3 linked regions of the Kluyveromyces lactis genome follow. The protein of the gene in region 3 purifies or fractionates together with the protein of the main gene of each other region. This does not show direct contact. Links are inferred from orthologs where the notes say so. Each region holds a gene or a part of one and is shown on either strand. Other genes may lie near its edges.

Region 1 (11,530 bases), about 290 kb from region 3:
TGAAGAAAGTCAAACAAACAAGAAGATATAACTTGTACTGTATTGCCTGGACAGTTTATTTTAATAAAGTAATCGATTGATCAGAATTTTCAGTGTTTGGCTAATGCTAGTCGAATCGTTCATATTTTCGAAATCCGTTTGGGGCGACAGCGGTCATCATAATCGATATACTCAAAAAAAAAACAATCCAAATGATGGTATTTCCATACAGACAGTCATTATCTTCGTCGTTCCTTTTACTTGTTCATTTCCCGACATGAAGAGGAATTTGATTTCCGTTTGAGTTCAGTAAAAAAGACAGAATACGTTGCGAACAGGAACTCCTGTTCCTGATACACTACAAATCGAATCCTTGTTGGTTATGTCTCTAACTCTAATTAAAAGCTTTGTAACGGATAATAAAGTATTCGTGATGAGATAGAAACTTACCTCAAAATTTTTCACTTTTCCAGTTATTTAAACTAAAAACCATAAAACAGAAAGAATAGTCAATCTAACCATGAGAGACTGGTCTGCCATTAGGGCACAAAATAAGTACACAAAGATTTCCTGAATCACGTGACCAAATATTATATAATCCGGGTAAATTCAGAATACGTTCATAGTGATACTTCTTGCAAAAAATTCCATTTGACGATATTCCTCTGATGGTATTGAAGCTGTTTGAAATTAGAGATCGCTTGAAAGATTTTGATATTAACAAAAATGAACAATGTAATTGCAATGACTTAAACATTTTAAACTATGGATATTGATATATATAAGGGTGGATATATCTATAACAAATCTTATTAAGATCAGAGTTATTTTATTATTTCTGTGAAGGGCAGTAGCAAAGCGGAGATATTGGTATTAGACGGTTTACCCTAAGAATCTCGTTAGGTGCTCTGGATATAATATCATGTTCAAGCAATTCAACTTGAGATGCCTGACGCCGCTTGCCAGCGGCGTCTCCTCAAGAGTTCAAGTTCCGTGGAATGTTTCGATGATAATGTCTTTGAACAATACTTCACTTGGTGGAATCAGATCTATGGCCAGCATCACTCCAACCGGGAATGAAGAACAATCTTCAGTTGACGATGTCAATGTCCATATGTTGAAAATCGTTCCTAATAACACAGATGTGGTAGCACTAGAGAAGCAAGACGAATTGTTAAGAAGAAGAAGAAAGTTGGCTAAGGAAGTTACACAAATGAAGAAATTGAAACCGGTTTCTCCAGGTTTGAGATGGTACCGTGCGCCAATTTATCCATATTTGCATAAGGGAAGACCTGTTAAATCTTTGACTCTTGCCAAGAGAGGAAATGGTGGTAGAAACCATAGTGGTAAGATCACGGTGAGACATCGTGGTGGTGGTCATAAAAGAAGATTGAGAACAGTCGATTTCAGTCGTTTCGAATCTGGTATGCAAACTGTGGAAAGAATCGAATACGATCCTGGTAGAAGTGCACATATTGCATTGATAAAACATAACGATACTGGTGCCCTAAGCTACATTTTAGCATGTGATGGGCTAAGAGCTGGGGATACCATCGAATCATACAGAAAAGGTATTCCACCATCATTTTTGAAAGAAATGGGTGGGAAGATCGATCCTGCCATCTTATCTGTTAGAACAGCTCAAAGAGGTAACTGTCTACCAATCTCTATGATCCCAATCGGATCCATCGTTCATAATATTGGTATCACTCCTACAGGTCCAGGTAAGTTCTGTCGTGCTGCTGGTTCTTACGCACGTATCTTATCCAAGATCCCAGAAAAGAATAAAGCTGTTGTCCGTCTACAAAGTGGTGAGCACCGTTACGTATCATTGGAAGCTGCAGCTACCATGGGTGTTGTCTCAAATATTGACCATCAAAACCGTTCTCTAGGTAAAGCTGGTAGATCTAGATGGTTGGGTATAAGACCAACTGTCAGAGGTGTGGCAATGAACAAATGTGACCATCCTCACGGTGGTGGTAGAGGTAAATCTAAGTCCAAAAAGTTGTCCATGTCTCCATGGGGTCAATTGGCCAAGGGTTACAAGACAAGAAGGGGTAAGCATCAAAACAAAATGAAGGTTAAAGATAGACCAAGAGGTAAGGCTGGTAGAAAGGCTAGACAATGATAAGCTTCCCCACAACTGATCCTATCTTAAATATCATCAGTTTTTGTAAACTTATTTCAATGACTTCCATCCTGTAAATATCGTAGAACTAGTTAATTTAAAGAAATAACATAACATCTGTTCAGTTACCAACTCTATTTTAAACAAAGTTTAGATTACTACATCCAGAGCATCATTTGGTCTCTTCTTCCAGCTTAAATTCCCAGTTCCCAAGTTCGAATAAGGAACCAACGACTAACCTTACATGCTGGGCCATGTGATCAAATGAAAGTCTGTCTAAAGTGTCCATCGTACTGTGAATGTATTTGTTAGATTTGTTGAACTCACTTTCAATGACAAAGGAAGCGGGGAATCCATTCTTCGTTGCACTTCCGTGATCACTACATGCATATCCACATTCCGTTTCCACGTAAGGAATATCCAAGAATCTTCTTATAATCAACTTAATAAATTCAGTTAGACCTGGCGTGGTATAATCAGTAATGACACCAACATGCTCATTTTCTGGATCTTCAACATATCCGGTCATATCTTGTTGCAACATTGCGACGACTTTTTTGTTCTCCTCTGCATACCTGGTGAAGACATCCAAAGAACCTAGTAAACCACCTTCTTCTGCACTATAGAAATGGAACTCAATGGTGTTATTGGGTCTGTAACCTGTTGTAGAGAGATGTTCAACGTATAATCTCAATGCCTCTAGATTGGTTACGGTACCAGATCCATCGTCATCAGCTCCTGGCGCAGCAAGTATCGATGGCAATAAAAGGTTCATAGAGTCCTGATGCGATCCCATTACGACAATGTTCTCGGGAGTTTGTGCTCCTTTAATCGATACGATGATGGAGAATTGCTTCCAACCTTTATGCTGAACATGTTCAATGACAACGTCATTGTTCAATGGACTAGTGATGTTAGATAATTTCTCGGAGAGCCAAACAGCAGATTCGTACCCCGTGTCAGATTTGTAATAGCGAGTGTAGAAACTTGTGAATTTTGCCAAATTATCATGCATTGAAACCTTATCAACTCCCTTGGACAACGAATTTACAATTTCGTCGCATTGAGTTTCCTTCGGATAACGGTACACTGGCACAACAGCCTTTTCATCTTTGGACTTAAGTAATTTGGGAAAATTGGTAATATCCATGAATTGCACTCCTTTCCTCTTGAGAGACCATTTCTCGGTCTCTCGTACCATAATAGTCTTACCTTCCTCGATCTCAAGAACATGTAAACTATCAAATGGCAAAGCTGCCACAGAAGCTGCCAACAAGAACCACCCAAACTTCATAACTAGCCAATCTGATATTTGCTACGGAGTTGAAGCAAAGTATACACCGGTAGATGCTTGTACTGTCCCTTTTAATACAGTATTTATCCACTTGTTTCTGAAGGGAAAAAGGGTTTTTTTGACATCTAAGTAGAACTAACGTTGTTTAGAAGTTTAGTGTACATATTATGGAAAATGATATTCATTGATATACAATAATGGAGAAAGGGAGAAACCAAAGATCAAAAGATGACATCTTCCTCTTGTTCGGTAATCAGAGCTTCTACTTGTGGGCCAGATTGTTCTTCTTGTTCTTGTGTGTCGGCAGCTTCTACGCCAGTTTTGGTCGCTTCTTGAGAATCTGGTTTACCTTCAGACTCAGCATTTGCTTCATCTAATTTCTTCTGCTTCATTTCAGCATCCAACTGAGCAGTTTGAATCTGTTTCTTTTCTTGCACTTTCTTCAATCTATAAAACTCTTCTCTATCCAATTCGTCTAGCTCGGAGTTGATATAAGCAATGGTGTTTTCCGTTCTTGGAATGATCACATGTTCAATGGCATTCACTCTACGGTTGGTAACTTTGATAACTTCGTCCAAGATAATGAAAGCCGTTTGTAACGAAGCCAATTCAACTAGTGTTTCAACAGCCCTTGAGTAAATTTCCTTAGCACGCTGAACTTGTTGACCACCACGACCTAGACCTGTCATTTTGAAGTCGTTGATGTTGGAGTCGATGAATGATTCAAATTGAGGCAAGTACACACCACTCACGTTTTCTTGCGTGGCCCTAACTTTGAATCTTGCATTGGCAACATTCTCTTGAACTTGGTACCCTATATTTTCACCTGTAGCATATGTGACCTCCGCCAAAGAGAACGCAGCTGTTTGCATCACTCTGCCCATCTTCTGCTTTGAATCATCTATTCTTTTAGTGATATCACGGAATCTCTTCGTTAATGCTTCAGACTTTCTCTTCAACAAAGAATAACCCTGATTAGCACCCTTTAACTTAGTCTTCATAAGACCCAAGGTCATACGAGTGGGGAAAACCTGTTCCCTATTACTAGACATTTTTCGATAAAATTCAAGATGCTAGGAGTGAAGTCGTTCCTTCCTTGCTGTAATATGTTATCAGTACGCTTAGTACCAAACTCACCTGATTGGTACAGTAGAAAAACAGTTCTTTTCAAAGAAAAAGCAAACGATTACAAGTAAATGTGTTCCAGGTTGGATACTTGTCAGTGCCAGCCTAATTGCAACGTTCTGCCCCAGCTGATATATGCCCCCCTTTTCTACCTTTCTTTCGTCAAATGATTGAATGTCTTATATTTCAGATATTTTGAAAATTGGTTAATTTCGAAATTTAGATATTATTTCATTTACGGTGATATGTCAAAACGTTTAATGAGATGAGTTACAATTAAAGCTCCATCTAAGGTAAAGTTAGTGCACTGTTTTTCCACCAGGTACTGCGAGAGACATATGTTTCGATGGAAATAGATAAATTTGTCAAGGAGGAAGATATTCCGTTTGAGTATGGTGTTGTTAGAGAAAGAGACAATGCTGTATCATGGTCGAGATATTTGGCAACTAAAAGATCAGCAGGCGATGAGTTGAATTTAGATTGGCTATACGAACGTTGTTTGAAGGAGATCAAGGACGACTGGCATCTATGGAAAGAGTTCTTGAAATGGAGGATAGAATTATTGAACGATTGTGATATTTTCAGGCACAAAGATGAATACAATAAGATATCGTTACTATTCGAACAGTGCTTAACATCATGTGGCAAAGTTGGGGATGCATGGATTATGTATATGGAATGGGTAATACAGTTTAAGGATTTGAAGAGGATTAGAGAACTGCTTGGAAAAGCGCTACGATCAATGTCGTGGGAGTACCATGAAGCAATATGGCGTGTTGTCATCGATTTCATTATCAATGAATTGTTAATAGACAACAAGAGGTATGAACTTTCTTTAGAGGATTCCATCTACTATTTTGTTCACGGAGAGCATTCGACGAATTTTGATACAGACCTCTGGTCTTCCTCAATCCTACAGAGATATTCACTTATTTGTGACGACATAGAGCCTTTATTGATCTACATTTTTAAGACTCATGATTGGAGCACGATCGTTCGAGTATTTGAAAAACATCTATCACCTAATTTAAAGCCATCTCAGACAAGTTTATTTGAACTTTACGTTAGTTACATCACTTCAATGATTCTTGTGGATAATTCAGCAGGGGTTGCTGCGGTAGTGGACCAATGTATCGAATTATTCCCTTTCAAGAAGGGTGAACTTAAGACATATTTGATATTTAACCTGATACGTCAAGGAAAAATAACGGAAGCTGAGCTGTACTTAGAGAAAGTTATAAGCGAAACTAAAGACATTATCGAATTTTCTGTATTATATGATTTTTGGATTCGTATGGAGGAGCTATTGACCCAAGAATTAATTCAAAAGATGAAAGACGATAATTCAGAAAAGCAACGGCTGTTCGCAAATATAAGACTACATGCCGACACTCTAACCTCATTAATAAAAAACCACACTATTAGATTAAACGACTTAGAATTGAGGCGAGAACCCAACAACATCAAATTGTGGCTAGAACGAGTGAAGCTTTTTGATACCATCTCTGATAAAGCTAAAGTTTATGCAGATGCTGTTCTTACCGTGGACTATAGACTTCAGACTACTCCAGGGCTATTAGGAGAATTATGGTGTCAATATTGCAGACTTTTTGAAGAGGATATTGAAAAATCCGAGGTCTTGCTGGACAAAGCCACTAACGTCCCTTTCAAATTTTTAGTAGATCTTGAAAATGTTTGGTTATATTGGTGTGAATACAGACTAAAAAGAAGCATTGACGATGCCATAAAAGTTTTGTCCGTTGTATTAGAAATACCAGATAATCATGAATTACTCCTACAAAAATTTGAGAAAGGAGAATCGCCAGCACAAGCAGCAATTTTCTCATCTAAACGCTTATGGGCAATGTACCTTGACTTATTGGAGGTCAAAGGAAACTATGGTACAGCTGTAAATGCGTATGAAACAGCAATACTCATCAAGGCAGCAACACCAGCCATGTTTATTAATTATGCGTTATTAAATGAATCTTCTGGCCATCAAGCAGAAGCTTTGGCTGTTTTCGAAAGGAGTGTTGAGATTTTTCCTCCAAGCGTATCGAAGTCTATTTGGGATATATATCTGGATGTGGCACTCAAAGCTGATATCACTAAAGAGCAAAAAAGAGATATTTTTGAATCTGCTATTAAGCTTGCAGCTTCAGGAGTGGCATGTGTTTCGTTCTTTGAAAAGTACAGCGACTTTGAGTTAAACCTTGGTTTCCACGAGAGAAGTGTCGAGATTTTGCACAAAGGAGCCAAGAATATTTCGGATCTTGAAAGTAAATGTACTTTATGGGAAGAATGCATCAATAGAAGTGAAAAACAATTGGACGTCAATCACACCAGAAAACTATATGAAGAATGTATAGAAACATTGCCCAATTCTAAAGCAATCAAGTTTCTACTTCCATTTGCTATCTTAGAAGAATCGCGTAATGAGGTTGCTCGTTGTAGAGCATTGTTAGACTACGGGAGCAAATTACTGAAGCCCGCACAGAATGAAGAACTTTGGGATTTCTGGAGGAATTTCGAAACTATGCACGGTACAAAAGACTCGTTCAAGAACATGCTAAAAGCACGTAGGTTCCTAGAGGACACAATGAAAGTAAATACAGAGGAAGTATCCAGACATGCAGATAGCATCGAATTTAGGGCGTCAACTGCGAAAATTAGTGGAAGCGGACCACCAAGCGCAGAAGATAAAGGATACTCAAATACGGCTGAAATTGATTTAGGTCTATAAAATGGATATATATTGATTAAAGTTGATAATGGCATATCGATCAATCTCTTATGTTTTGTTTTGGAAGATGTCGTATTGTCTTTCTTTGATGACGTGTAACATACAAAAACACTAGTATCTTACTGTTTTTCGACCCAATCAGTTGAACTCATGTGGGATAATCTACTTAGGGCTCTTGCAAATGCAAACCGTTCTTCATCTAATGCGAAAATCTGTGCTTTTTTGGCAATATCCTTAGAAAATCCGTGTTTACTGACCAATTCATCCTCTACTTCAGGTTCATCTTCATGTTTCATTTGATCTGCTGGTTTAAGCTCATAGTCGTTGACAATATCTTCTGGTTCCACGAATAGTGAGGTGAAGTCATCTGCACCAGTGGTAGCTAATTTACCACCGTTATCGTAAACTGCATCCAAGAATGTAATGAACCGTCTAACTTCGTCACGTACGTATATGGTTAAGTATGGCAAATCTGTGACAACAAAGGACTTGAATGAGTTAGCCAAAGTTAAATAGTCACCAGCAGCCAAAGGTTCTCCACATAATTGTTTAAAGGTGAATTGTGCTACTCTCCCAGGTGTACATTTAGGAACGAGTAATTGTCTACCCCAGATAGTCAATGGATAGTTATATACAATGTCATGGCCATTTTCTGACTTACTGGGACGATGCAGTTGGGCAAAATAACTATACCATTGCTGTACGTGTAATTTCCTCGCCAATTCACACTCTTTTGAAAAATAGGATAAATTATGACTTGGATAGTAATAAACAGATGAAATTGGTCTTGGAATCTTACGATAATCGGTAGGAGAATCCAACAATACCACTTCGGTTCTTTCCTTTATCAGTTCAATACATGGAACAAACGATTCTCTTTGAACACCATTGATGTAAAGATCATCTGGCTTTCTGTTACTCGTTGCAAAGAGTACAACACCGTACTCTTTGGAAAGCAATGTAGTAATTAACCTCCGTAAAATCATGGCATCTGCCACGTCCGTCACTTGAAACTCGTCGAAACAAAGCACTCTAGAAGTGTTTGCAATCTCTGCCGCTAGAAATGGGATTGGGTCGATATCTCTTCCCTTAGCTTCACCCAAAGCATCGAAATTTTGTTCGGATATAATGTCATGAGATCTTTTATGCACATACTGCATGAACTGATGGAAATGTATACGTTTCTTTGACAAAGCTGGAGGAACTGTCAAATAGAACAACTCCATCAACATCGTCTTTCCACATCCTACATCACCGTATAAATATATACCCTTAGGAACACCCTCCGTCGAATACTTCTCTTTCCTTGCAAATAATTTCCCAAGAAACCCTGTTTTCCAGCCGACTTGATCTAGCACGCTTGGTGGTTGTACTGGTTCCGGATTGTACGAAACCAAAGAGTCGTGCAAATGACCTAAGGATTTGATGATACTCCGCTGATACGGATCATCTCTTAATTTTCCGAGCTTTACCAACTCGTCATATTTCGACAACGGTGTTTCCGTAACATCCGCAGATTGAGAAACCCACCGCTGTGCCAATACTTGTTGGAAAAGTCCAAAGGTATACCCTGGTCTTTCAACAAGACCGCTGCCAACTCTACTGACAAGAACCTTCTTACAACCCTGTGAAAATATCAGCATCGCTTGTCCTTGTACATGACCTTTTCCCAATTGCAATAGATTGTATCTACCTTAATTAACGATAGAGTAACTAGTGTATTATTTATGGACAAATAGTAATTCGGAAGTGCAGCTCTAATACAAAACGTTTCCAATTGCTAAGAAGTGAATATCTAACATTCACCATGGCCTTTACTTAAATACTTGTTAGTGGGGCATCGGTTTGAAGTGATAGTTTCTCAATGTCCCCCACTCTGAGGCCGCTTTAATTTTTTTTCTCCGATTTCGGGTTCTTATTCTACAGTAGAAACATGCTGCTGATCTCTATCTATTAAAGGTCTTCCTCCCCACCCCTCCCTGTCGCTATCTGAATACCCTGAATTCGACTTGTAAAGCTATGACTGACAGCTTTGTTTGCTTTGGTTGGTGAAAACTAGAGATCATCAATTGTTCGAGAATGACTGTTAGCATGCATGTCGATATTTACCAATAGATACTCCGCTCTTGCGTACATAATAACGTAACGAACATACGTTTTTAAGAAACAGTGTGGGGTACCAGACTTGCAAGTGCCTCTAGCAACTGGGAATAGTTTGTACAATGCATGGCTCTCACAGTACCTTGACTTTTCTTAGGTCCGATACTTTTGTTTTATGTTGTGTAGAGTTTATTACCTCTTTTCTACTAAATGTTTAAATCCTAATTTAACTTGTGAGATAGCTTAAGGCTTCCACACGATATCATGAATTAGAGAGATTAGAACAGAATATACAGTTGCGGTAGCACTAGACATTGCAAGATTTTAGGGTTTGATATCTTGGGGCAACTAAATTTGTTTCCCAGCATTCCTGATTATTGATGGTGGTTGAGAATAACATTGCAGAGTTGGCGAATTTAACGCTAGATCATCGAATGGATCCTAAAAACGAAGCCCAGTTTATAGACATCACAGATCATTTAAAGGCCCTAGCAGCGAAGTTGGCACCAGAGACAGTGGTCAAAGAAGCTACGTTCAATCTGTTCGAAGGGACTTATGCATTGGAAGTATGCAACGTGAAATTAGATACAAGCCTTATTGAGTTATGCCCTGAAGAGTTGGAATTCGACTGCAATGTACCATACGGGGACTCAAATAATGGAGAAAGGCTTGATTATGTCACTGCGGTTTGTGATCGATTATGTCGCTCTTTGATGAATTGGCTTCATGATTACCAAACTCTACCCACTACGGTGCTAAGTTGTCGATACGTCGAATTTCTTATGGAATTATACACTTCGAACCCGGTTTCATCGTTACAATCGTTCCAAGGATTACGCACGCGCGACCCCTTGTATGATCAAGTCTTGTGCAGCTTTGTGATAGGTGTTTGTTCATTCATAAAGTTCACTTCCAAAGTTTTGAAAGATGGTGGTGTTTACGAGGAGGAAGACTTGAACTGTAACGTTATGAGTTTGGATATGCTCTCTGGCGTGGACACAAAAGAAGTAATAGATTTATTGAACTCTTCGTTGCAACTGTTAGTTCAGTCATACTCAGAATCTACGCATCTACAAAAACTTGTTGATTTAGTCAAACATTTGTTGCACTTACCCAATTATCATTATCCCTCATGTCAGTCTTCGGTTTCTTCAGACTTACTACCTTTGCAAAAATCACTAGATATTATTTCTTCATTGGTACAAGACGATTATACTACTAAGCAGCATTCATACCCTCCTGGTTGTTTTTCCAAGGGCATTCAAAAGAGGCGTGATAATAACTTCCCACCAAAGGATCTCTTTGAACCTAAGGGAGACGAATATGTCTCTTATACTGAATTCATGAGAGATATCATAGCGGCATTATCGGTAAAAGATTGCAATACAGCGTTCGAAATCAGACAATATGTTTGGTTTTTCAACCGAATTAGACAAAGGACAGTCATGGCTCGTGCGTTACTGCAATCATATTTAATTAGAGAAGACACCATCTTAGACAAGTTTCGGTTTAACACGTTCAAGGATATGCACCTTTACGAGTTCTCATTAGCAGGAACAGCATTGTACGATGTAATATCCAGCCGCGAGCAAACAACAGATCGCGATAATATGATAGAAGCCTTGAATGAACTCTCATATTGCCTCCTTCGTTGGTATCAAAATATGCCACAAAATTCATGTAGGCATCGGCAAGGATTTAATAGACTATTACTCGACTGGGACTCCGTTCAAGCGCAATTTGAGCAATATGAAACCCAATGGCAATCAATGGGAATTGTAGATAGCATTACAAACATGGGGAATATCCCATTGATGCCAGTTTCAACATGGATTTACACTACAAAGTTGCTTATGATGATAGAATTCACTTTAGAAGGATTTCATTTGGAAGTTTACAAGCCTTGGGAATCCTTTACTCAGTACTGGTTCTGTTATTACTTGTCGAGTCACTTGGAATCAAACTTGAAAAGATTGCACGAGTTTCTGTTGCAGAAGATCAGTTACATTTTGAATTACAATAAGAGAATAAAGAAACTCAAGGCCGGCGAAAAGAAAGAGAATGCTAAAGCGCGCTATAGACATTTAACAGATAATGTTTTACCTCAACTAAGACTAAACGAGAGAACTGTCAATTTCTTTTTCATGAAATGCACAATATT
Region 2 (10,560 bases), on a different chromosome or scaffold from region 3:
AGCATCAATAACGACCTTAAGTTAACAAGTATATTTGGCGGCGTATTATTGAAAATTATGGATCATAAAGTTCCATATATAAATAGTAAGATATTCAAAGCCATTAACATCGATGACGGTGAATTTGAAATAGGATCGGAAGAGAGTGAACTATGGTTGACCAAAAGAAGTAGTAATCTAGTAAATTCAACTGAGTTAGCAAAAAACTCGCCCCTACAAACGAAGAGTGGTGCTTGGGAAGCTGTCTTGGATTTCGATAATCAAAAATCCATTGAGTCTGTTGCACGATCTGAATTAATTGTCGTAGCTTCATTAGTGGATAAAGCACCCAATCTCGGAGGTATTTGTAGACTCTGTGACGTGTTGGGTGTCGGTACTATGACAATTCATGATATTAGAGTCAAACAGCATCCTCAATTCAAAAATGTTGCGGTTACAGCGGACCGCTGGATGCCTATTGAAGAAGTTCCTGTCGATGGTATAATATCTTACATGAATGCAAAGAAGTTGGAAGGATATACGTTAATTGGATTGGAGCAGACTGATTCTTCCATTCAACTGAATTCTGAATTTAAATTTCCATCAAAATCTGTCATTTTACTAGGAACAGAAGCTCATGGTATTCCAGGGCATTTGTTAAAGGAGTTGGATTTATGCTTAGAAATCAAACAATCTGGGGTAATAAGATCCATGAATATCCAAACTGCAACAGCTGTTATCGTTCATTCGTACTCGATCCAGCATTTATAGATATGCATTTATAATAAACACCCTGAAAAGTACCTATTTACTATTTAAATGTTCCTTAATCTGAAGCATCCAAAGCTTTTTCAATATGTGGTGCGTATTGACGAATTAACTTGAACGCTTGTTCTAAATGATGCTGACTGAACCCTTTGATATTATCGTTATTCAAGCCAACAGATCTTATCGGAGAAGTAACCTTATCTTTGTACCACGTAATTAGAAGGCCATTGTTCGATACTATGCTCTCTTCAAAAGTTGGATCCACAAAAACACCGTCTCCTACAATTGCGAACGTAAACAATAAAGGAGCATCTGCCTCTAGCTTAACCATATCGTAATCATGGAATGTGGGTAGCTCCTCCACTTCTAAGTCATCGTCGTTCGATATTAGTTTCGGTAGCCATGTGTTTTTCAAAGCGCTGAAAATGGCGAAAGATATCATTGAGATCGGGTATGATTTGGAGGCAAGCACCAAAACGTCAATGTAAAGTTTGAAACTGTACCTTTTCGTGAGCATTAGCTTTTTCTGATCAATAGTTTGTTTGAGCAATTTGGATAATAGTGAAGACATGCTGGTAACCAATGGAGAGTCATCTCTGTGGCCTTGGATGTCGACATCAGCAACAAGCAATTCTTGTTCTACCGTATGGTCCACGACTTTAGTTTTTACACTCACTATACACTCGCTTCCTCCGCTTAATATCACACGGCTGGATCCATTAGAATTGGGAAGGAAATCAGTAGATACTTCCAATGGTCTAAATTGATGTGGACCTCTTCCATCCGGTCTTAATGGGGGATCTAATGTTAGAGAATCGTATAGGAACGATTTTTCAGTTAACGAAAGTCCCATTATCTTCTTATATTATTTGATTTTTTTTTTAACGAGATGGGTCTGCTTCGTGAGAAGATAACTCGCTTTAAACTCAGATGTTTCTATTGCTGTTGATAGAAGGGAAATAAGCCTTTTCTCATCATCTCATTGCATCTCATCTCAAGCTCATATAAGTCAATACTGAAATTAGTTCAGATTTTTCATTTCTTCTTTTCGCTAATGCACATTAATATTCGGTGTTACCCGGATATAATTGGCCATTAGTGAGATGTTCTGTCAGGTGTCAGTCACGGTTCGAAGTACTAACATACGATGAATGCTGACTGACTGATATTGAAGTTGTACTGATACAGGGTGCTGATGTTTAATATATATACAAATACATCAACTGTTTTATGGACATAATTATTCCTTATCTTTTGATTTTATTTTTGTTCTTGGTCGGTTGCCCTTTGCTAACGATTCTATACAGTAAGATTGGAAATACCAGCAAATGACATACTCCAATGATGCAGAATAATATTGTGACTTTTGCCAGTAGATAAGAGAACGTTGATTCGTTGAGATTTCTATGATCGACATCTAAAGCATGCAATTCCTGGCCAGAATCCGCACTGACCAACGAAAACAGGTCATCTCTACCCTGGGATAACAAATTGAGATCATCATCAGTAATCAAATCCCACTTCTGTTTCTGAATCAGATCATTAGACGTGATGCTAATTGCTACTTGCTTCACACTATCTATGGCATTCCATGAGGAGTCTAATGAAAAGTTGATAAGGCATATTTGGAAATTCTGATGTTCGTATACGCTCACGTAAAGCACAGTTTCCCCATTCTCTAAACCATGTCTTGACTGTACCAAATTTTGGTCTTCGTCATAAATATCCATGTTGACAACCTGTTTTCCCTTTGAACTCGTAGTTGGACCAAACCTATCCACATTAACTTTCCATTTAGTAAATTCTTCAATTTCAATGAGGAATTGTAAATCCTTGGCCTTAATATTCGTATTCATTTCGAAACAAGTTTGATAACTAGACGCGTCACTCGAGCCGTCAACTTCCCATTTTTTATATGGCCACAAATCGAATTCTAATCGATTTGGGTTTATCGGCAGTTTAAGGGTCTCCGAGACAACTGAACATATCAGTAAAAGGACATATATCAACGATATCACCATTTAAACAAAAAGAACAAAAAAATTACTAGCTGGAACGAAATGAACTGGGTATAATAACAAACGAAAAGACCACAATCTAATTACTGAAGCGAAAGCTGTGGATTAGACCCAAAAAAAAAATTTTGTCTGGCCGAATAAGAACACAAAAAGATATTGACAACACGTATGAAGCACTGAGAAACAACCTTAAAGGGAAAAAAAGAATTGTTTCGATTTGAATTGAACCTGATGCTTTATAGATGGAGACCAATCATTAACCCAGGCAGTTCCCACTTTTCCAACCGAATAATTGCTGTCAAAACGACTCTCTGTATGTTTTTCTCCAAAAGTGTTCTTAACATTTTCATGCCATGGCACAGTATATATGTCGATCATATCAAAATGAAATGAAATGTTAACGTGAACCTGATAGACTTTTTTCGCATCGACGTTTACAGATGGAAGAAAATGAATGCCACAGAGAACGGCCCAGCCTGCTGGAAACAGAAAAAGCTAAATGTTAAGAATGGTCTGTAGCAGATTCATTCCAGGGTTTTTCCCAGCAGATTACCAGCCCGAAACTAAGAGAAAGAAACCAGAACGGGTGCGTTTATTCATCTCTGAAAGTATACAGTTTTCCGAGGTCATACCAGCCCACACTTTTAAACATGCATTTTTGCTTTCATTCATTTTTTTTTTACTATACTTCAATATATGAGTACATTATATATATTTTGTTTGGAATGGGTTCATAAGTTAATGCTATTGGAACCAGTGGCATCAGCAGTATTATCTGAATCCACGCCAACGGTTCTCCGGCCTTGAGATTGCAAAGATCTTTTTAATTTTGTGGACGCCGATTGGATGTCACCGGAAGATACAGTGCTAGCCCTGTGCTGTTCTTCTAGGTCCAAAGCTTGTAGCCTTTCGTTATAATTATCCAATACTTTTCCATTTTCCGCTAATGAGTCTTGGAATACTTGCAAATCCTTCTCATCAATATCATCATCGGAAAAATTCCCTTCCGCGTCCAATTCTTGTCTGTTCAATACCTCTTCACCCTTAAGCTTGGCAACGTACGCTTCTAACCTTCTGTTAGATCTTTGTAAATGCTTCACTGCATTATTGATCTCTTTTCTGATCTCTTGTAATTCATGCTCAGACGATTCTCTAATAGCAATCACGAACTCTTGAATCTGAATTGGTCTACGAATACCAGAAGAATGTGCCATATTTCTATGTTAAGTCTATCCTTAGCTATGTATGTTTTTTCACTTTTTAGTCTTGTTTCGGTTGGAAAGTACGAGATGAATTAAGATCGGTATCCTTAACTATATATTCAAGCTAGCCTTTTATAACAATAATTTAAGCCAGAGTTTATTCTCTTACTATTTATACCCAACGGTAAGATATCACGCCCCACATATGACACCCACCCCTCCGAGGCACCATCATTGCAAATCAGAGTGTATGATGCGCACGTTACTATGCTGACTTTTTCCAGCTCCAAAGCAACACTACTTGTTAAAAATCACATCAGCTTTTCTGCTTTCCTTTCTCCTGGGCTGGATTTCCCCGCCTAAGTCCTTCTCTGGGAACTGAACTTTGTCCCTTTCAGCAAAGAGTTGAGAAACTCACGAGGAACACAAAAACAACGAGAATTAGGGGCCGCTTATGTAATTCTTTTCATCCCATAAAACAGAAAAATTGTGCTGTTTTGGCTTCCACCCATACACTACGCACAATCAGGGGTTGGTGCAATTTCGGATATATTACCCGGGCATGGTGAATTTCATCATAGGCGTTACAGAGTGAAGATGTGATTCAGATTCTATATGAGAGAGAGTTCATTGCGATGCTAGAGAAGAGATGGACAAAAGACAAATGGTGATGTGTAATAGTAACTACGGATTGTCTGGAATAATCGGCCCTTTGTACAAAAATCATATCATCATATAATGGGCAATGATAATAATACTAATAGAGGGTTAAATCGGAAATTGCATTCTGCATTGAGTGTTGAGAATGTCAATTTATTGAGATTTCAAGGTAGACGTTGTGGAAACCCATACTTGCAAGACGTACAGGCTCATGGTTTTGAGCCAAAGGCAAGAGTATCGTCTCATTGGTATGAACCGGGAGAGGTTGTCCAGCATGCTGCAAAATTAAGACAAGAGAACCGTGAAAAGTCTGAAGAAGAAAGAATACGATGGGAAGCTGAACTGGAGAAACAGCAGGAAATCGAACGGAAAATAGAAATAGGGGAACTACCTGATAAGCATGAAGAAGTTTATTTTACCGATTTATCGGACGTTCCTGATGTGGAATGGTGGGATGTTCCATATATCAAAGATGGTAGCATCCATGAGAAATATAGTTTGGATTATTCCACATTGAATTCGGACGATGAAAGTGATGATGAAGAGGAAGAGGAAGAGGAAGGTGCACAAGATAAATTCCCAAGTATTAGGTATATTCAACATCCGGTACCGATTGAAAGGCCTAGGGCAGCTGTTCCAGTGGCAGAGATTTTCTTAACGAAAAACGAACGGAAAAAGGCCAGAAGGAATACGAGGAAGTTGGTACGACAGGAGAAGGAGGAGAAAATCAAGCTTGGTATAGAACCAAAACCAGAGCCCAAGGTTAAATTATCGAATATGATGAATGTGTATGAGAATGATGCCAATATTGCGGATCCAACTCAATGGGAATCCATCGTACGGAGACAAGTGGCAGAGAGGAAAAGGAAACATTTCGAAGAAAATGAAATAAGGCATCAAGAAAGCCTGAAACGAAGGAAGGAATCCCAGTTACAAGCACACAGCAATGATAGTCCTCTAGAATACACGTGTGTTGTTTACATGTTTGACGAAATACAGAATCCTAGTATCAGATACAAAATCAAAACCAACGGTAAGCAATTGAAGTTGAAAGGATGCTGTCTACACATTCAAAATGGCAAAGGTATAATTGTAGCTTTTGGAGATGAAAAATCTATCCGCTTTTTCGATAAGTTGGTGACAAAGCGAATCAATTGGTCGGAACCATACAAAGATAGAGATACCGAAGAGACAGTACCTTGCGACGGTAAAATTACAAAGGTTTGGCAAGGATTAATTGGTGATTGTAGATTCAAGGGCTGGTTCATGCTCGATTGTAAAGATAAAAACCAGTTAAATAATATCTTAGAGCAGCACGATGCATTGACTTTTGTACCATTAGGTAAGTTTTAACAAACAATTACGTACTGAAAATGAAATCCAAGTTCGAAATCATCAAAATTTTGGAATAAAAGTAATAGTGTATGTTAAAAAAAATAAAACCGGAGTAAATCCAACGACCTACTTAGAACATTTATTTACATGGGGTGAGTAGGCAGTCCAAGTGACGCACAATGGTCAACATTATTGAGTTTTATCACTACCAACATCAAAAAAAAGTCATATTTATATAAATAATATCTCCCTTCGTCTCTCAAAATTCAATCATCAATAACAGAGAAAGATACTGGCTCATAACATCGTTCTTTAAATTTAATTCTGGTGTAACGTTCGAGACCTTTATTCGACGACCTTGGCCAAGATTTCAGAGTCTCTGAATAAAACGACTTCATCATCCTTGCCCAACTTGATTGTGGATCCACCGAATTGTGGGATCAAAACTTGGTCACCTGGTTGGACAGATGGTGTAATCTTGTTACCGTTGGAATCGGTGAAACCTGGACCAGCAGCCAACACAGTAGCTTGGTTTAATTTCTCAACGTTCTTTTCTGGCAAGTATAAACCAGAAGCAGTCTTGGCTTCGGCCTTGATTCTTTGCACCAGAACACGGTCCAACAATGGAACAATAGATTTAGCAGACTTCAATAGAGTGGACATTTTGACCTATTATTATAGTGATTACTTCTTAGGGGAAGAATATCAATCGAGGAGGATCAAGGATCTTGTACAAACGCTGACTTTGATATAATCTTGGCACTCTATTGTTGAAAAAATGTCGAATCCTTCATTTTGTAAAGTGTGTAAGCTTTATAGCCTTTTATAAATTTCAACTTTCATGTCAGAAAGGTTCCCGTTTTCGGTGATGCTAGAAAATTCCATGTGGACAGTAAACTACAAACTACTGAACATGGCAATGATGCGGGCTAAATGACTAGCTGGTAGTGGGCGCCGCTTTGGAGTTGTCAAAACAATATATAGAGCTTAAACAATGGTGGTTCACAGCATGTTGAAGTCACAATTCATAGGGCCTTATGTTGCCGGAAGGGGGCAGTAAGGGAGGAAAGGAAAATAAAATGTTGTCCACGTGACTTACAATTTTTTTTCATGAAATTTAATCACTCCGAACGTCTTTTGGCCCAAGTTTTCGAGGTGAAATTCGAAGGGATCACACAGAAGATGTCGCAGAATTTCACTCTTTTCGCATAAAGACACTGACCTTCCTCGAATGAGCTTTTAAGAATTAAAGGATTTCGTTCCAAGGTTAGCAAGTGTTATACTTGGTTTATGTGAATTTTTTTAACCCTTCAACACCGGTTAGGGCTGATTCCATTTCAATCATAAAAACTGTACCAAACACTACAATTTCATACATATTAATAATGGGTGCTGCTTACAAGATTTTCGGTATGACTGTTCAACCACATATTTTAGCCATAGCTACCTTGGGCTCTGTTTTCGGTGGTGCAGCTTACGCCATGTCTGGTTCTAAGGATGCTGAAAAGGCCAAGCCAGCTGTTGCTACTCCAGCTGCTCCAGCTGCTGGTGGTTCCGACGAATTTGACGTTGAAAAGTTGTTGGGTGATTTCTTGAAGGAAGAATCCAAATAAATTCAATAAAGATCAGGTATTTGAACTACCCCCCTTCTATAGATGACGATTTTTTAACGATATTCAAAATGAAACACGACCTCCTACACAGTCTCAGTATTAAAACAGTTTCCCTTTTTTTCATATACATATGTACATGTAATCTGATAATTATAGGATACTTAAAAGTTATTACATTGATTTGTGTTTATCTCAGAATAGATCGTCTAGACTTTGCTCGGAATCTTTTTTGATTAATTGGAGCATCCCTTCCGGTAGAATCGGCTGGCCATCAGAGTTGAATACATATCTGAATGGCATTTCGGTAGCTTCGTTCTTATTGAATCTGAATTCTGGGTAATCGATGAACTTAACGTCTTCAAATTTAGTTTGTTTCTCAATGATGATTTGGGTGGTTCTGATGGCCGTGTCTGTAGTCATTTGTTTGTCCCCTAGTCTTTTTCCGACGAGTAAGTTTGGGTATTGCTCCATAAGTTCTCTGGTACGGTCTCTTGGTGGATGATCTCCAAGAATACCTCCGAAGACGAAATAATCATAATTTTGAGCATCGGATGGAATCAAATCGGTCTTTGCCCTTGGATCTAATAGACAGACTCTTTGAGATTTTAGCTCTGGTAATTCTGGGAACGCTTCATTGATTTTATCAAGGTTCGCAGTGGTCCACTGCAATCCCATTTCCCTGAGCTTCTTTGGAATATCGGACTCAACGGTATCTTCTGGTAATGACGAAAGAATTAAGTTATCCTTGCCAATATCACGAATGATTTGAGCATACTCTAAAGTAACCCACTCACTGAATCCTTGCTCCATGTGCTCAATAATGTACTTCATACTTAATTTGCTTGCTCCTGTATTGGGTCAGCTTCTTGATCTTTCTGCTGTGCTCATCGCAATAATCTGTCGAAGGTTCTATAAAATCGCATTTGATTTTCCATTTTTGTTTCGATTTGGCAACAGTGCATTTAAATTTATGAGCTACGCTGAAAATGAAAAAGCGACAGATCAACTGCTCGCCATTAGTGTTAGTTCTCAACAAGACTATACATATTTTATACAATGTTTTTTATAATGCTCTATTTTGTCTTCTTTGTCTCTACTTTGGTTGATTTTAATTTAGTTATTTCATGAGTTTTAGGTTTAACGTGTTTCTTCAATATTTCCTTCAGCAAAAATCCTGCAGTATCCATGTCTTCAAAATAACTGACATGAGATTTTATAGCACTCCAGACATCCACGTCTAATAAATTGGGTTGGAAAGAATAGTCAACACGCCCGTTGCTGTTAAAGCGCAACAAATTCGAAAGTAATCGTTGGGTCATGAGTTCTTTCTCTTTTAGATTTTTATCTGACATCAAATTCTTCACGGTGTCAGCAATGAAGTCGTACCCGGTCGCATGCGGAATCCATTCTGCTTCATAATTAGCAGTGACTTTGTCTATTAGTGGTTCAACTCGATAGGAAATCGGATCACAGGGATGAAATAGGTTGTAAAAGTTGTTGCATGCGGGAGTTTGCTGTCTTGTAGAGGAATCAGATTCGCCAATTTTGGTTCTTTGTATAAGTTTGAATACACCTATTGGCGAACCAATAGCGAAGAAGTTATCAACTTCAAAATTCAACGGAAACTTAGACTGTTGAGAAAGAATATCAAACAAGATGACGGATCCGAGAGAGTGACCCAGTAAACTGACTTTGCCATCGAATTCAGGATTGTGTTCACGATACTTCTCATATACATCGTTCAATTCATTTGTGACGTGCTTTAGGATTCTATCTAGGTAAAAATCATCACCGTATAGCAAAATGTCCAAGCCAACGTCACCCAACAACTTTCTTAAAGGTCTAATGCCGTCTACCGTCAAATCTGCTAATGTTGGCAAATCCTCATTGTCACGATTCGTATTAGTCTCGTCTGTATTGAATCCTATTGCATGCCTCCACGTAATTGGAAGAACTTGTGTTCCACTATTGGTTTTATAATCAGGGAACTTTCTTGCGGAATTGAACTCCTGTAAGGAAGGATTCGATTTATACAAGTACTTGATGTTGTTCCGTAATAGGTTTACAGTATGCGCAAAGTTAACGTACTGATACTTCTTACCCAAATTTTGACCGATACCATGAACACAGAGAACGAGATGGTTAGTTGGTCTGTAATGACTCTTTTCACTTGAATCACCATTGTCATAATCCTTTGACATTTCATCTTTCATCATATCTTCTTCTTGTTTACTGTTATTTTCTTCGTTTGGGAACTTCACAAGGTCGCTAAATTCCCAAGAGATCATATCGGATATCTTACCTAACCCCATCGCATGTTCGATAACTTGACCCTCGATCTCTTTCGCTCTTTCTGTTAGAGAAGATGGTTCCTCATAGCCCTTGGTAAGCTTGGATGCACCCAATTGAATCAGTTGAGCCACTGAGCTCCGTAGGATAGTAAGCTGTAAATGTCCACCGTAGATATCTGGCAACAAAAAAGCGGTCCTATCGTCTTCAAAAAACATAACGTATTTCCATTTCGAATCTTTTGGTAATCGGAAAATATCACGAAGTTCAGTGGTTTTAGATTTCTCTTTGTCCCTAGAGAGCCACTGCTGATGTAATTCTTCAATAGCCTTGGTTAAGTCATGACTCAACGGCCTATTCTGGTCATCAAACCAGATACCTCTTCGTATTTCATAGGATGGTCCGTCCCAATAGATTGGATTCATAGAAAACTTTTCCAGATCAACCTCGAAAAGATGATCCTCATTAACATCAAGTTTCCTACTGAAATTCTTCTGGGTATAGAGGTCCTCAATCCGTTTGGAGTCGACCTTGGAGAACGGTTGAAATTTTAAAGGTGCCGTTTTTGGTACATACTCTGATTCAAAAGGTTTGGTTTTAGGAATGTCAATTGCATAAAACCACCTAGATGAGAAATAGCGCCTATTTTCTTTCCACATAGCCCGCACCTTCATCAAGCTTCCCCATATATTTTCC
Region 3 (11,530 bases):
ATCACCATTTCGCATTTGTAACCACGGATCATTAATACCGAGACACGTTACACCGACCACTTGTGCTGCATCGATTATTTCCGACAAGTTCTCGTTATCACCATCTAACATCTCTGTTATGCAATATGGTTTGACCAAATCATGGACTCGACGTCCAGATCCCAAACGTACCATCTTAGAGCGAGGGATACGCGAAGTTAGCTTCATTATAATATTATCGACAGCTGAATTGGTGTAGCTTGTCACCATGACAGATTTTCCCTGATTTACCAATATTGAAACTAATTCACAAATAACTGATGTCTTACCAGTTCCAGGCATTCCTAAAATCAAGTTGTAGTCACGGCAGGTGAGCGAACGTTCAATCGCCATTTTCTGGTTTTCATTAAAGCTGTCATTAAGAGTTGGTATTCTGGCCGCATGAGTCGTCCATTTCGGTTCGGAAAGCTCTACAATGAGCCTACGACCCCTGCTGTAACCCCCAAGAGATCTTTTAACAGGAAGCTGTAATTTTTCTCCAGATTTTTGCGGTGAGAATTCAGCTTCAATAAGGACTTCTGGAAGAAAGAGATTTAGAAGGTTGTAACGAGCCAAAGTAAGTCCTGTAGCACTCTCATTTTTATCAATACGATATCGGTGACTATTTGTCAAGCTTTGTTTCTCGTTCAATGGCTCTTTTTGTTTAAGTAAAACACTTCGAACTACTTGTCTCGTATTTCTATCAAAAGAATCACCATGAATATTGTTTGCCAGAATGTTTCTCGCACAATTTATCACAATGAAATCGTTAGCGATTTCAGAGACATGACCAGTTCCAATGGCTAACTGGCCAGAGGTGTCGTTACTGATCATTATATAATCTCCTTTATGGATATCTGACGAGAGCATGCTAGGTGGAGCGCTCTTGAGTTTCTTGGTCTCCTGTTGTTCTGCATTGGAAGTGGCAAATGACCCTTGAATATCGTTTTCGCGGCAGAAAGTGTACAGATATCTCCCGTTTCCCTGATCCTGTACATTCTTTATGGTAAGCTGACTTATGCAATGTCCTGTTTGAGCCTCTCGATCTGTGCCCGACATAAGGAAAGTATCTTTAGTGACACTTGTTATGCTAGTTTCTTCCATCATTAAAAGCCTATCGTACTTGCCGTAAAACGACCGAAAGAGCTCTAGGACCTGTGAGCCTTGTGCTTCAAGATGTCTGGTTAAATCAGTATATTCATGCTTTAGCAATCCTGGCGTTTGTTCTTTGTCACTTAACTTGTTGAGCACCATGCAAGATGTCTTCATGAAACATTGATCGCACTTGGAGTTCTGTATCATTGCGGGTAATTCATGTTGTGGTCCACCCCAATCAGACATCTCTTCATTCATTACTTGTAGGTATGTCGCAAGTTTATTTCTGAGGTTAAGCAGATGCTTTAGCGATATTAAAATTTTGGGTTGTAATGAGAACTCTCTTAGCTTAGTATACAACATCATGTGCAAATTTACAGGGATGTCATATCTATCCTGGAGAAGCAATGTATAAATTAGACCCTGTGCCTCGTGTGCATTAGATTTCCATTTCCCTGTCTTTATCTCCACGGGAGCTAACAACTTTTTACCGTCTGAATCAACATTCGTCTCAACAGTGACATCTATATATCCTTTCAATCCATACTTTGATGACCAAATGTTCTCTTCAATATCAACGATCTGAGAAACAGATAATTTACGTTTATTTTTTGTTCCAATTACTTGAATCCAGGACCTTGAATTGTCCTTAGTGACATAAATGTTCACAAATTCTATGATAAAAGGTAAATGCTCATCTGAAATCGTTTTAATCACTGATTCGACAGATTCTCCACACATATTCACCTCCGTAGTGAATGGTTTTATGACTTTGTCCAGAATTTCGAGAGCTAAGCCTTTTGAGAGAAACTGATTCGGCTCCAACAGCTTCAATTTTAACACTTCCTGGACCAACGCGTGAATAATGTTACCTAAGACAGCTGCAAGCGAGTATTCACCGGGTTCATTAAATTTTGAAGATAAAACGGCACGCCTTTCGCAATCCATGGCAGTCCCAATTGCAGTGGCAGAAAGAAGAACATCCGGATACACGATCAATAAATTATCATTTTCGAGGCCTGTTTTAGGGTCTTTGTCATTTGAAAGAAGCCGTTTATTAGGAAAGTGGTCACCTTCTATTAGGTGAATAATCATTCCTTGCTCGTATCTGAAACGAATCCATGGATCTCTGAGAATTAGGTTAACTTTTCCAGCATCCTGATTGAAGCATGTGAGAATTATTTGCGCTGGTGATTTCATTTCCTTGATTTCAAAAATACATAGTCTTTGACAGCCGCGTTGAGGGAATGGGAATTTAGCCAAGTTAACATACCTTTCAACCACATCGGCTTTGTTATTAAGCAGATGATCGGTTTGATTTTCATTTGATTTTACAGAGTCTTCCACATTTTCATCCTCTGATTCAAGCATAACTTCAATGCGTTCAATTTTTCTCACTTGAAGTTGAGGGAGTGTAGCTGGCTTTTCCTCATCAAGAAGTTCTAATAAGGAAGCATCTGATTCCTCTGATTCTTCATTGCATTCTGTGATGACTGGCTTTGTGAATCTTTGTGTGAGAATATCAATTAACGAATCGTCCTCATCCTCGTCGTCATCTATATTGATCTGAGGAGGATACATTGTGAACGTGCGTTCTATGCCATTAGTTGTAGTATGCTTATGATTTGAAATACTCTCTGATGCCAGCTCCGGAAGATTTTCTACAGGGTCATCGTCTATAACAACTGGTTCCGAGCAAATTGGTGAAGAAGGCGGAAGCAACTTAGGACCTTCTAAGTCGTTTAAAATTTCGTGTATATCTCTCATAGGTGTGACATCCTTTTCTCCTCTTTTTACAGGAGATCCTTGTGCAATTTTCCTGCATTCTTTATCAATGCTGTTGGGATCCATGTTCTCAAAATCAATCACATCTTTAAACTTATCGTTGATCAATGGAGTAGAAGATTGACCTAGAGGCATATCTTGACTTAATTCATCGGAGTTATTATCGTCGTTTCCAGTATTATAATGGTTACATAATTGCTCATCAATTTTCCTAGGAGAGTATCTCCATATTACTTCTTCCGACGGACCATCGCTATACCTCGTTTCTGGCACAGCTTCAGTCGATTTTTCCCTTCTAGTCTTTGTGCTATTGATAATTCTTTTAGATGCAAGCTTTGTTTTGCCACTAGTTTTCGCATTGACAGTATCTTTGACGGAACTTCCAGCTTCCACATTTCGTACTCTTGAGATCGGTATCGATTTCAAAATTGGTTCTTCACTGCTAAGCCGGTTCAGGGGGGCAAAATGGTAAGATTTACTTGGTTTCTTTTTAGGTTTCCCTTTATAATCCACTGAAATAGCATCCGTATCCTTCTTAAATGGCGATATAGAAACACTGGCGGTACGTTTTTTCTTTGGGGTAGAAACCATCGTGTTTCCAGTAAAGAATTCAAAGCCTTATTGCTATTGAGTTTGTACAACAGTATGCTTCTTTTTCTGCTTCTTGAATCCCCACCATTTGGGTTACCACCAATTCACTAATCCTAAAGTTGACTGATTGGCAGTTGGGCTTTTCTCTCTTCGCGTTTGAAGATATTCAAATAGTTCTTCTTATTCGCGATATATTTATGTGTATTGTTTTAATATTTACGTTTTTTAGAGATCAACATTTTCTGATTCCAAACCAAAACATTGCGCATGGCAAAAGGCAATCGCAGGGCTAGGGTACGACTTACATTGGATGTATAGAACCGACACTTTGGTCCTCTCACAAATATTGATGCATTTTCGTGCATTCCTTTATAAATTATATTGTTTGATAAACGTCATGATAATGAACGGAAACGGTGAGTTGATACGTCAGAATTTTACGTACGAACGCGTTAGTATTAAGTATTAGGTTGAGTTCTTTTCGTTAAATTGAGGGATTGATACGGGGTAAAGTGATCTGGTGTAGACTTCTTTAATTTAATGACACTGTCCTGTATGATTGTGGATGGTTCTACTAGGCCGTTACTAGCTTGATTGAGATTGAGTTGATAAGTTTTAGAGTTCGCCATACTGATATGTTGATCCGGACTTTGTAGACGTTTCGGCAGTTCGTTTTCATCATTGACTATATGTTCGTCGTGGTTGCTTTTATCCATAAAAGAATCTCCCAATTCGATGAAATCATCGTTCATTCCTGGAGCGAACTCATCTCGTAACCCAATTGTGGAATAGAAACTTTCAATATCTGAAATCAGTAAATCTTTCTTCTTTTTGAGAGACGCTTCCAGTTCTTTGCTAAACTTCGGTACTCTTTTGTTTGCTGCAGCCTTTAGCTTCAGTAAATTTAGCCTCGTCTTCATGAGTATACGGGATGTCTGCTCATATAATGCCATTCCAAGCTTTTCTTCATTCATTTCTGATGCAATTGAATCGATTGCCGTTAGTTCCCGTTCCTCTGGCAGTGCGAACGACCTATTTTTAGTATTAGAAACATTTGGTGCAGAGGTACTTTGATTAAATTCTGTGGCTTCGGTTTCATTTTGTGATAGCTTTGGTGTCTCTTGCTTTTCAATAGAATTTTGGAAAGCAGTTGGCTTTGTAAGTAAATTCTCTTTAACTGCTATTTTCACATCATTCTCTTCATTTGACGATATGTCACCAGAGTCAATATTAACGGGTAGTCTAAGGGCATTATACATTTTTGATAGAAAGTTGTAATTTGATTTGGAGCCTTTTTGTACTTTGTCAAACGAGTAACCTAATCTCGTTAGTTCCATAATGTACTTAGCTGCGTTCATTTCATGACCAGACATTGGGAGAAATTTAGAAGATTTATCAGAGTTAGATGTTTGATTCGCGTTAGTAGAAGTTGCAGCTATCATATGATCCGTTTTTTTAGGACCTGCTGCGTTGGGCCTGTTATATTTCGGTCCAGAGTTACCTGGTTTAAATCTCAATGGATTCTTTCTTTGTGGTCGTGTTGCTGCAGAGACATTTCTCTTGGTAGTTGTTCGCGCCATTATTATTTCACGGCTTCCTTTATTGAAAGTAACTAGTTTCTTCCAATATGCACCAATAATCACTTTGGTTAAACTGTTTGTTTAACCGTCTCCATCGGAGAGTCGATGTGCAATATCTTCAAGGGACGAAGTTCCTTGTCTACTTTTTAAATATTCAGTATTACCTCTCAGAGAGAAGTCACGTGAAAGTTTGGAAGTCAGATGGAACAAGCACATTATGACTACTTCACTTTTATGATAATATGAAAATCGTAGAGCCTAAAACGCCATTCCAAACCGTCTTATACGGTTGATGTAAGGGCAAATGCAGGTCAGATGCCTAATATAAATGTAAAATGGTTTTAAAAAAATATATAACAATTATAGAGAAATTATCTGTATTCTCCTTCGCTTAAGCGAATAGATTTTCTTGATCCGGTTCTAATTCCTCATCTCCAGCAAGTTCAGAGAATTGTATGAAGTGAGGAGCACGATGGAGTTCATTATAGAACTCTAGTGGGATGTCTAATTTCAATTCGTAAGGTAGATCTTCGCTAAAAGCAGTTCCCATGAAAGCGTAATTCCATATCGATGACGAAGGTACCAAGAAATTGCCCATAATGCGTTCAGATAATAAAATCTGTGCAGTCTCGCTAAATGAAGCTTCAAACCCTTCTGGTGAAGGGTCCGTTATGTCTTTCGATTGTAAGCCCCAGTTGAAACCCGTAGTGCTTAACGTATATCCTGTAATTGATACGGCACCTGGGATTAGATTTATGCACAAATCAACAGCACTTTCGTTATGATCTGAAAACATTTTGGAATGAGTGATCACTTCAGATGGTGACATGAATTTGGAATCGACTTTTTGGGTATGTATCCATCCCAACAGTTCCATGTCGTTGAGATATTTGGAAGATGAGGGGGGAGGAGATATGCGAACAGTTGCGGAACTGCCGAGTTGAGGGACAAGTGCTATCGTCTTAATTTCCTTCACATTAGGGTGATCTTTTACAGGTGACCCGTACATATACCCTGCAATTTGGACATCGACATCAGCTATTGTGACAAACTTCTTCAACAAGTTCCGTGGGAATACGAGGACATCTTTATCTTCTACAAAATCTTCGGCAGTAACATATATGTTCTTAAGCTTCAAATGTAGCAATGAATTGGAGATTGCATTTGACCGCCAAGCATTTTTCGAACTGAAAGATTGGGACTCATAATTGCTGGATGACACCACTGTAATTTCTTCACCTTGAGCATTGATTGTTTTTAGCTTCATGGCTGCCGTGGCAGACTGCGACGACTCATCAGTTTTCTGATTTCTTGCAGCCTCCAATTCTGCCATCTTCTGCCTCTGAACAGATGGAGCTCTAATGTTCTGTCCTAAAATCAAATTCTTGATTTCAGTTTGAGTCAAAGAAGCAATGTTTACATTGTATTTTTGACCATACTCTAAGAGAATTAGATCACGCATCTTCGTCTCAATTTCAATCCACTGATCATCAGTAAAAGAAGGCCATAGATGATTAGCTCTCGTTGGGATTGTAGGATCCTCTAATAGAATCATTTTGGCTTTTTCTTCATTGGTTTTGAGCGCTCTTAATAGCAATATCAATCTAGAGAAAGCAGTGTAGGCAGAAACTCGAGTTAGCCAGTCATCATAAATGTTGAACAAAACCATCTGCGGTTCTGTAGCGCTTAAAACAACATCATTTAATTTTTCTATGTTCAAAACAGAAGAAAAAGGTAATCTGAGCTCAGTTGGACGAATCGAAATGTTTGGGAAATCTAACATGTGTACTTCCATAGGGTCCATCATAGCTTTTCTAGTAACTATAATTTGTTTAGGTTGTTCTTCTTTGGGTAACGATCTAACCAATGCACTTACTTCTTCTGCGGTTTTCCATTTTGCCAATTGAGCCAATCTGCTCTGCCCCGCCCACACCGAAGTGTGAATTATTTTCAAATATAGTTCACCTGTTTTCGGATTTAAAGTAAACACGCATCCGTTGATAGGCTTAGTAGCCACATTGCCTTCATAAGTTCTATGAACAGTGACCCGGTAAACATTCGTATCATCGATAAAGAATTTTGTGTCATTGGAAAATAGCTCTGCGTAGTTGGATGAGTTCAAAAATGGCTCTTGAACTTGAGATTGATATATCTGAAGACCTTTCCTGATACGCTCCCTCAAAACGTAAAGTGCTGGATTAGCTTTCATTATTGTTTTCATACCGTTGTGTATCAAGGGCTTCAATCCCTCAAACCACGTTCCATAGGAGTCGTAAATATTATAGGCCAAGTCAATACCGATCATAATACCAGTAGGAGACGGGTACAAGCTCACGTTATCTGTGGTGTAATCTAAAAATTTCGCACGGACATATCTTGATATATCATGAGAATCATAGTCACCATATCTAAGCTGCACATCGATCCACATTTTGTCAGTTGTGGTAGCGTCGAAAGAATCTTTCGTCTGATGCAACAATGTTGGTCTGCTAACCTTCCATTTGTAAATACTGTTCAATGTGATGTCAGCAGCAGACGAATTCATCTTATACGACTTACGTGGATGAATTGATTCTTTTTGAACAGATTCAATCTGTAGTATATCCATTTGGCCGTCCAGAATTTGACAGATGTCGAAAACCACACTTTCGTGGATTTTTTGCCATAGATGTGCTCGGAAAATTTGAATTAAAGATATCTTCAATGTTGGAATTTTACCGTGCAAGAATATTCCTGTTAAATCCAATTGCACCAAAAACCCAACGTAGACGTTCGCTCTATTAATCGTCGGAGACCACCATAACGTAAACCTACGATTAGGGATCTGACTCAAACCAGTTCTTTGTGCATGAGTAAGTTTCTTGAACTGCATTGAATCTTCAAAACCAGAGGCTTTCTCCCAGAAAAGTCCTTCCCATGATTTAAAGCCAGTTCCTTTAAATAATGTGTGCTCAAGAATTGTTTCGATACCCCCTAAGGCCTGAATGACATCCGTACGATAGGCATTCAAGTTCCATAATTTACCATCATGACGATTATTTGTCCACCAGAAAGCATTACTACGTTCCACTGAATACTCTTTGAATTGTCGCCTAATCCTGTGACCCTTATCATAGGCTAGCGTATGCCTATCTTTTTGGAATATGGTACTGATCCGCGGTATACCTCTATCCCAAGAACCCTCTAATTCTTCAAATGCCAACCTACGATTTTGTTTTATGGCTTCTTGTCTTTTAGCAGCATAATCCGCCCATACTCTCTGTGAGTCCAAAAATTCGTTCTCCCAGGTAGTAATGTATCGGAAAATTGTTGGTATCATCTTCTCATCTTCGTGGGACATCCCTGCCCTGAAATGTGTTATTCCAGTATCTGTGTGTTTTGACCACCTCAAGTCAGAAGCGGGAATTAAAATGTGCGATGCGCTGAGCATTCCCAAACCACCTAACTCTTTAGGTGTATAAAACACTGCTGGAGGGAACCTTGTTGGCATTTTAGAATTTAAGCCGAGTTTTACTCTATTTTGAACTCTAGTCTCAGATTTCACGAGTAAGTCGAGTAACGGTTCTGTCGTGACGATAGATTCTCTAAAATAGGTAAACAAAGCGATTAGTGCAGTATTCCATTTGCCCACAATTTTTGTAAAAGTTGTGGAGCCGGAACCCATCAAAATACTTTGAATACGACCTCTAAACTCATCAATAGCTTCTTGTGATACCTGTAAAAACGCTTTGGCAGTCCGTTCTTTTGTGGAGTCCAACACCAAATCCCATACACCCTCATCATGAGAAATGACATCTTCCATCCGAGATTTCGGTAGTATTCTCACCTCAAAACCGCACATAGTGAAAAGTAAATTAGGATTATTCTTGCTATAAACTGAAGAAAGAGTATTCTCCCACGTTATGTTAACAAGTGATTTTGGTACCCTAGATGTAAGTTCCCAGAAAACAGCACGACCTAGATTAACATCGTGTCTGATTAACCTCATGCGGGCGTCTCTAGGCCAGCATTTCTTGTTGTTATAACCAACAGAATTTTCAAAATTTGGATCGGGGTTTTCCATCAAATAGTCTTGGATAAGCTCATCAGACTCAGATTCTTCAAAGTGGAATAAAATATGGATTTTGTCAAGATAGCGTGAGTAGAGGCGAATTGGGCTCTTCGTTTCAGTAGCTTTATCTGGAAATTGCAAGAATTCAGATGGTTCGTTTGGAGGGCCTGCTAGTTCCTGTGCCCTTTCATGTCCCAAGATGAGAATATCAATCATTAAACCATAAAATTGATAAACAAATGGTGCAAATTGTAATCCCCTTATTAGACCATATTTGTTAACATGATTCATATCCTTAAAGATCAAACTGACATTATTCTTTGCAGTAATGTAATCCGCTAATGTCGGATCGATAATTAACCTTAGGAGCCTGTTTATTAGTGTCAAATCCATCTTTTCAACGAATTCTTGTAAATCAGTTTGCAACAATACGGTCGATTGCCCTTTGCTGATGTCCCATACAGAATCTAAGTTGTTAATGCCTTGACACCATTTGTAAACAAGAAGTGGCGGGATTTCTGAGTCACCTGGCTTTATCCAACTAGGGAAAAGCTGCCTTCTGTCAGCTTCATACCATAGATACTGGTCAAGATATGCATCGGTAATTTTCTCCAACGGATCAACGTTATAGACTGGAGATATGTGTTGATAATGATCCATCATTGTTAGTTGTATTGGCTTGAATAATCTTTGGGTTAGCAATAGTTTTTTAATTCTATTCAAGGTATCATGAGGATTGTCATATGCCTCTTCAATTAAAGCTAACTCTTCACGTTCCTGGGCATTTAGCCTGACTTTTGAAACGTATTGCTCTTTTAAATTCTCAAGTGCCAAAACCAAAATCTTCGTATCGTTTTTATAAGTCAAAGGAGGGAACGGGATAGGTGAGAAGTTCCTGGCATCAAGCCAATCTACCATTGCCGAGAACACTGCACTTGCTTCTGCTGGGGTTACTTCGGGACCTGCTTTCTCAATTTCCTTTTGCCTTTCCTGCTCATGTTTTATCCAAAGTCTAGTTAATCTGCCTAAATTTTTCTTCAATACAATTTTTTCGACATGGGCACCACTTTTGATTCTATCACGATTATAGTGAGCTTGAGATGTCCAACCGTCAGCTTTTGCTTTCACATATCTTTCTATAATGTTTTTTATTGGCTCGGGCATTCCTGGAACTTCCCAGGGAACATTGGCTTTCCAGCATCTCCAAGCCTCAGATAAGTGCTGTAAAATTGTCCTTGCCTTGCTCTGCTTTATTCCATCGGGAATCATGTCCAAAATGTCATTCATAACAGATGCTCGTAGTTCTAAGTCATAGTAAGCATCGAGTCTTTGTTTAGTAGTAGTTTTAACAACATCAGTTGATCTTCCCTCAAACTGACGAGTGAGTAAATTTCCTAGCCACCTTTCTAGAATCGGTATTATGCCTCGAAGGAAGAATATCCAAACTCTCCATGCAGGCTGCCAGAAACCACATCCTGGACCTTTCCCGATAATTTTATTGAATCTATAATACACGACATGTTTTAGATCTTTACATGTACGAATTTGATGCATGACTTTGTACTTGTACCTATAGATACCTGTGAGTTGTCCTGTGTGGTTCAAAATATAGTACAATCCATCAGCAAGCTGAAACGCATCGACATTTCCCATCCTATATTGAACATGAGAATCTACCAACAACTTTATTATTTTTAAAATTTCTCTTATTAAATGGAAAGCATTCCCAAATCTTGCCTTCTTTCTCTCCTTCGTTGTAAGGGTTTTAGTTGGCTTTAAATTGAAATTGTAATCAAGATGTAAGTACGTAAGGCCTTTTTTGTGAATCAAGAGATTGAGCATACTGTGACCTTGTTTGCAGACTTGTAAGCCGGCCTCAACCCAATCTATCGTTGTTTCTTGGAAGAATTTAGTATTTGCTAGACTTTGTAACAACTTAACTTTCTTTTTTGAAGTGTGGTCATCGGTATGGAGTTCATTTGCTACAATATTCTTCAATAGTCTTTGGTGGGAACTCTTTACTTTGTTAGGATATCTTTCATCAGGATGTTCTTGGTACCACCTTTTTATTAGAGCGACATCCTGAGCTCTGGTGGTTTTACCCGATCTTTTGTTGTATGGATATGGTGCATGATATAATGACATTGCTTCATTAGTAGTGGGAAAAAATAGTTCTTGTGTTTCCATTAAAGGTCTGACATCCATTGGAATCCTAAAAGAGTTATCTCTGGTGTTTTCTGCAGTTGTGTGGAAATGGGGCAGGGAATGCGAAATAGTTGGGTTGAGAGACTGTCCGAAAAAAAAGGTAGCAGATGAGTGCTCCATTTCAGATTTAACGGTACACGAGAGCGGATCATGGTACCACAATGTTTCAACAGATCTTGGTCGAGCTGCATATATTTGAGGGAAA

What was found. Proteins that work in one complex are often made in the same cells at the same time.
Region 1: the proteins of PRP8 (region 3) and SYF1 purify together in Saccharomyces cerevisiae (affinity purification with mass spectrometry; 5 studies listed by BioGRID). This does not show direct contact. The link is inferred for Kluyveromyces lactis from reciprocal best matches to the Saccharomyces cerevisiae genes PRP8 and SYF1.
Region 2: the proteins of PRP8 (region 3) and PRP3 purify together in Saccharomyces cerevisiae (affinity purification with mass spectrometry; 5 studies listed by BioGRID). This does not show direct contact. The link is inferred for Kluyveromyces lactis from reciprocal best matches to the Saccharomyces cerevisiae genes PRP8 and PRP3.

Annotation. Positions count from the first base shown.
Region 1 is NC_006037.1:174,197-185,726, reverse strand, and holds SYF1 (mRNA splicing protein SYF1), read left to right. Parts: upstream 1-4,872; coding exon 4,873-7,269; downstream 7,270-11,530. Other genes in the region: RML2 (mitochondrial 54S ribosomal protein uL2m), read left to right, coding at 902-2,107; KLLA0_A02013g (putative aminopeptidase), read right to left, coding at 2,280-3,401; VMA8 (H(+)-transporting V1 sector ATPase subunit D), read right to left, coding at 3,623-4,453; AFG1 (Afg1p), read right to left, coding at 7,389-8,912; MAK10 (Mak10p), read left to right, coding at 9,750-11,530. UniProt on the Saccharomyces cerevisiae protein: Involved in pre-mRNA splicing and cell cycle control.
Region 2 is NC_006041.1:823,539-834,098, forward strand, and holds PRP3 (U4/U6-U5 snRNP complex subunit PRP3), read left to right. Parts: upstream 1-4,705; coding exon 4,706-5,980; downstream 5,981-10,560. Other genes in the region: TRM3 (tRNA (guanosine(18)-2'-O)-methyltransferase), read left to right, coding at 1-750; exosome non-catalytic core subunit RRP42, read right to left, coding at 806-1,600; RRT6 (Rrt6p), read right to left, coding at 1,995-2,768; TMA17 (Tma17p), read right to left, coding at 3,497-3,979; HSP10 (Hsp10p), read right to left, coding at 6,308-6,625; MCO10 (Mco10p), read left to right, coding at 7,348-7,575; protein-arginine N-methyltransferase SFM1, read right to left, coding at 7,768-8,406; DDL1 (putative carboxylic ester hydrolase), read right to left, coding at 8,649-10,538.
Region 3 is NC_006037.1:470,296-481,825, reverse strand, and holds the end of PRP8 (U4/U6-U5 snRNP complex subunit PRP8), read right to left. Parts: coding exon 5,461-11,530; downstream 1-5,460. Other genes in the region: bifunctional ATP-dependent DNA helicase/ssDNA endodeoxyribonuclease DNA2, read right to left, coding at 1-3,489; KLLA0_A05302g (uncharacterized protein), read right to left, coding at 3,948-5,069. UniProt on the Saccharomyces cerevisiae protein: Functions as a scaffold that mediates the ordered assembly of spliceosomal proteins and snRNAs. Required for association of BRR2 with the spliceosomal U5 snRNP, and the subsequent assembly of the U4/U6-U5 tri-snRNP complex.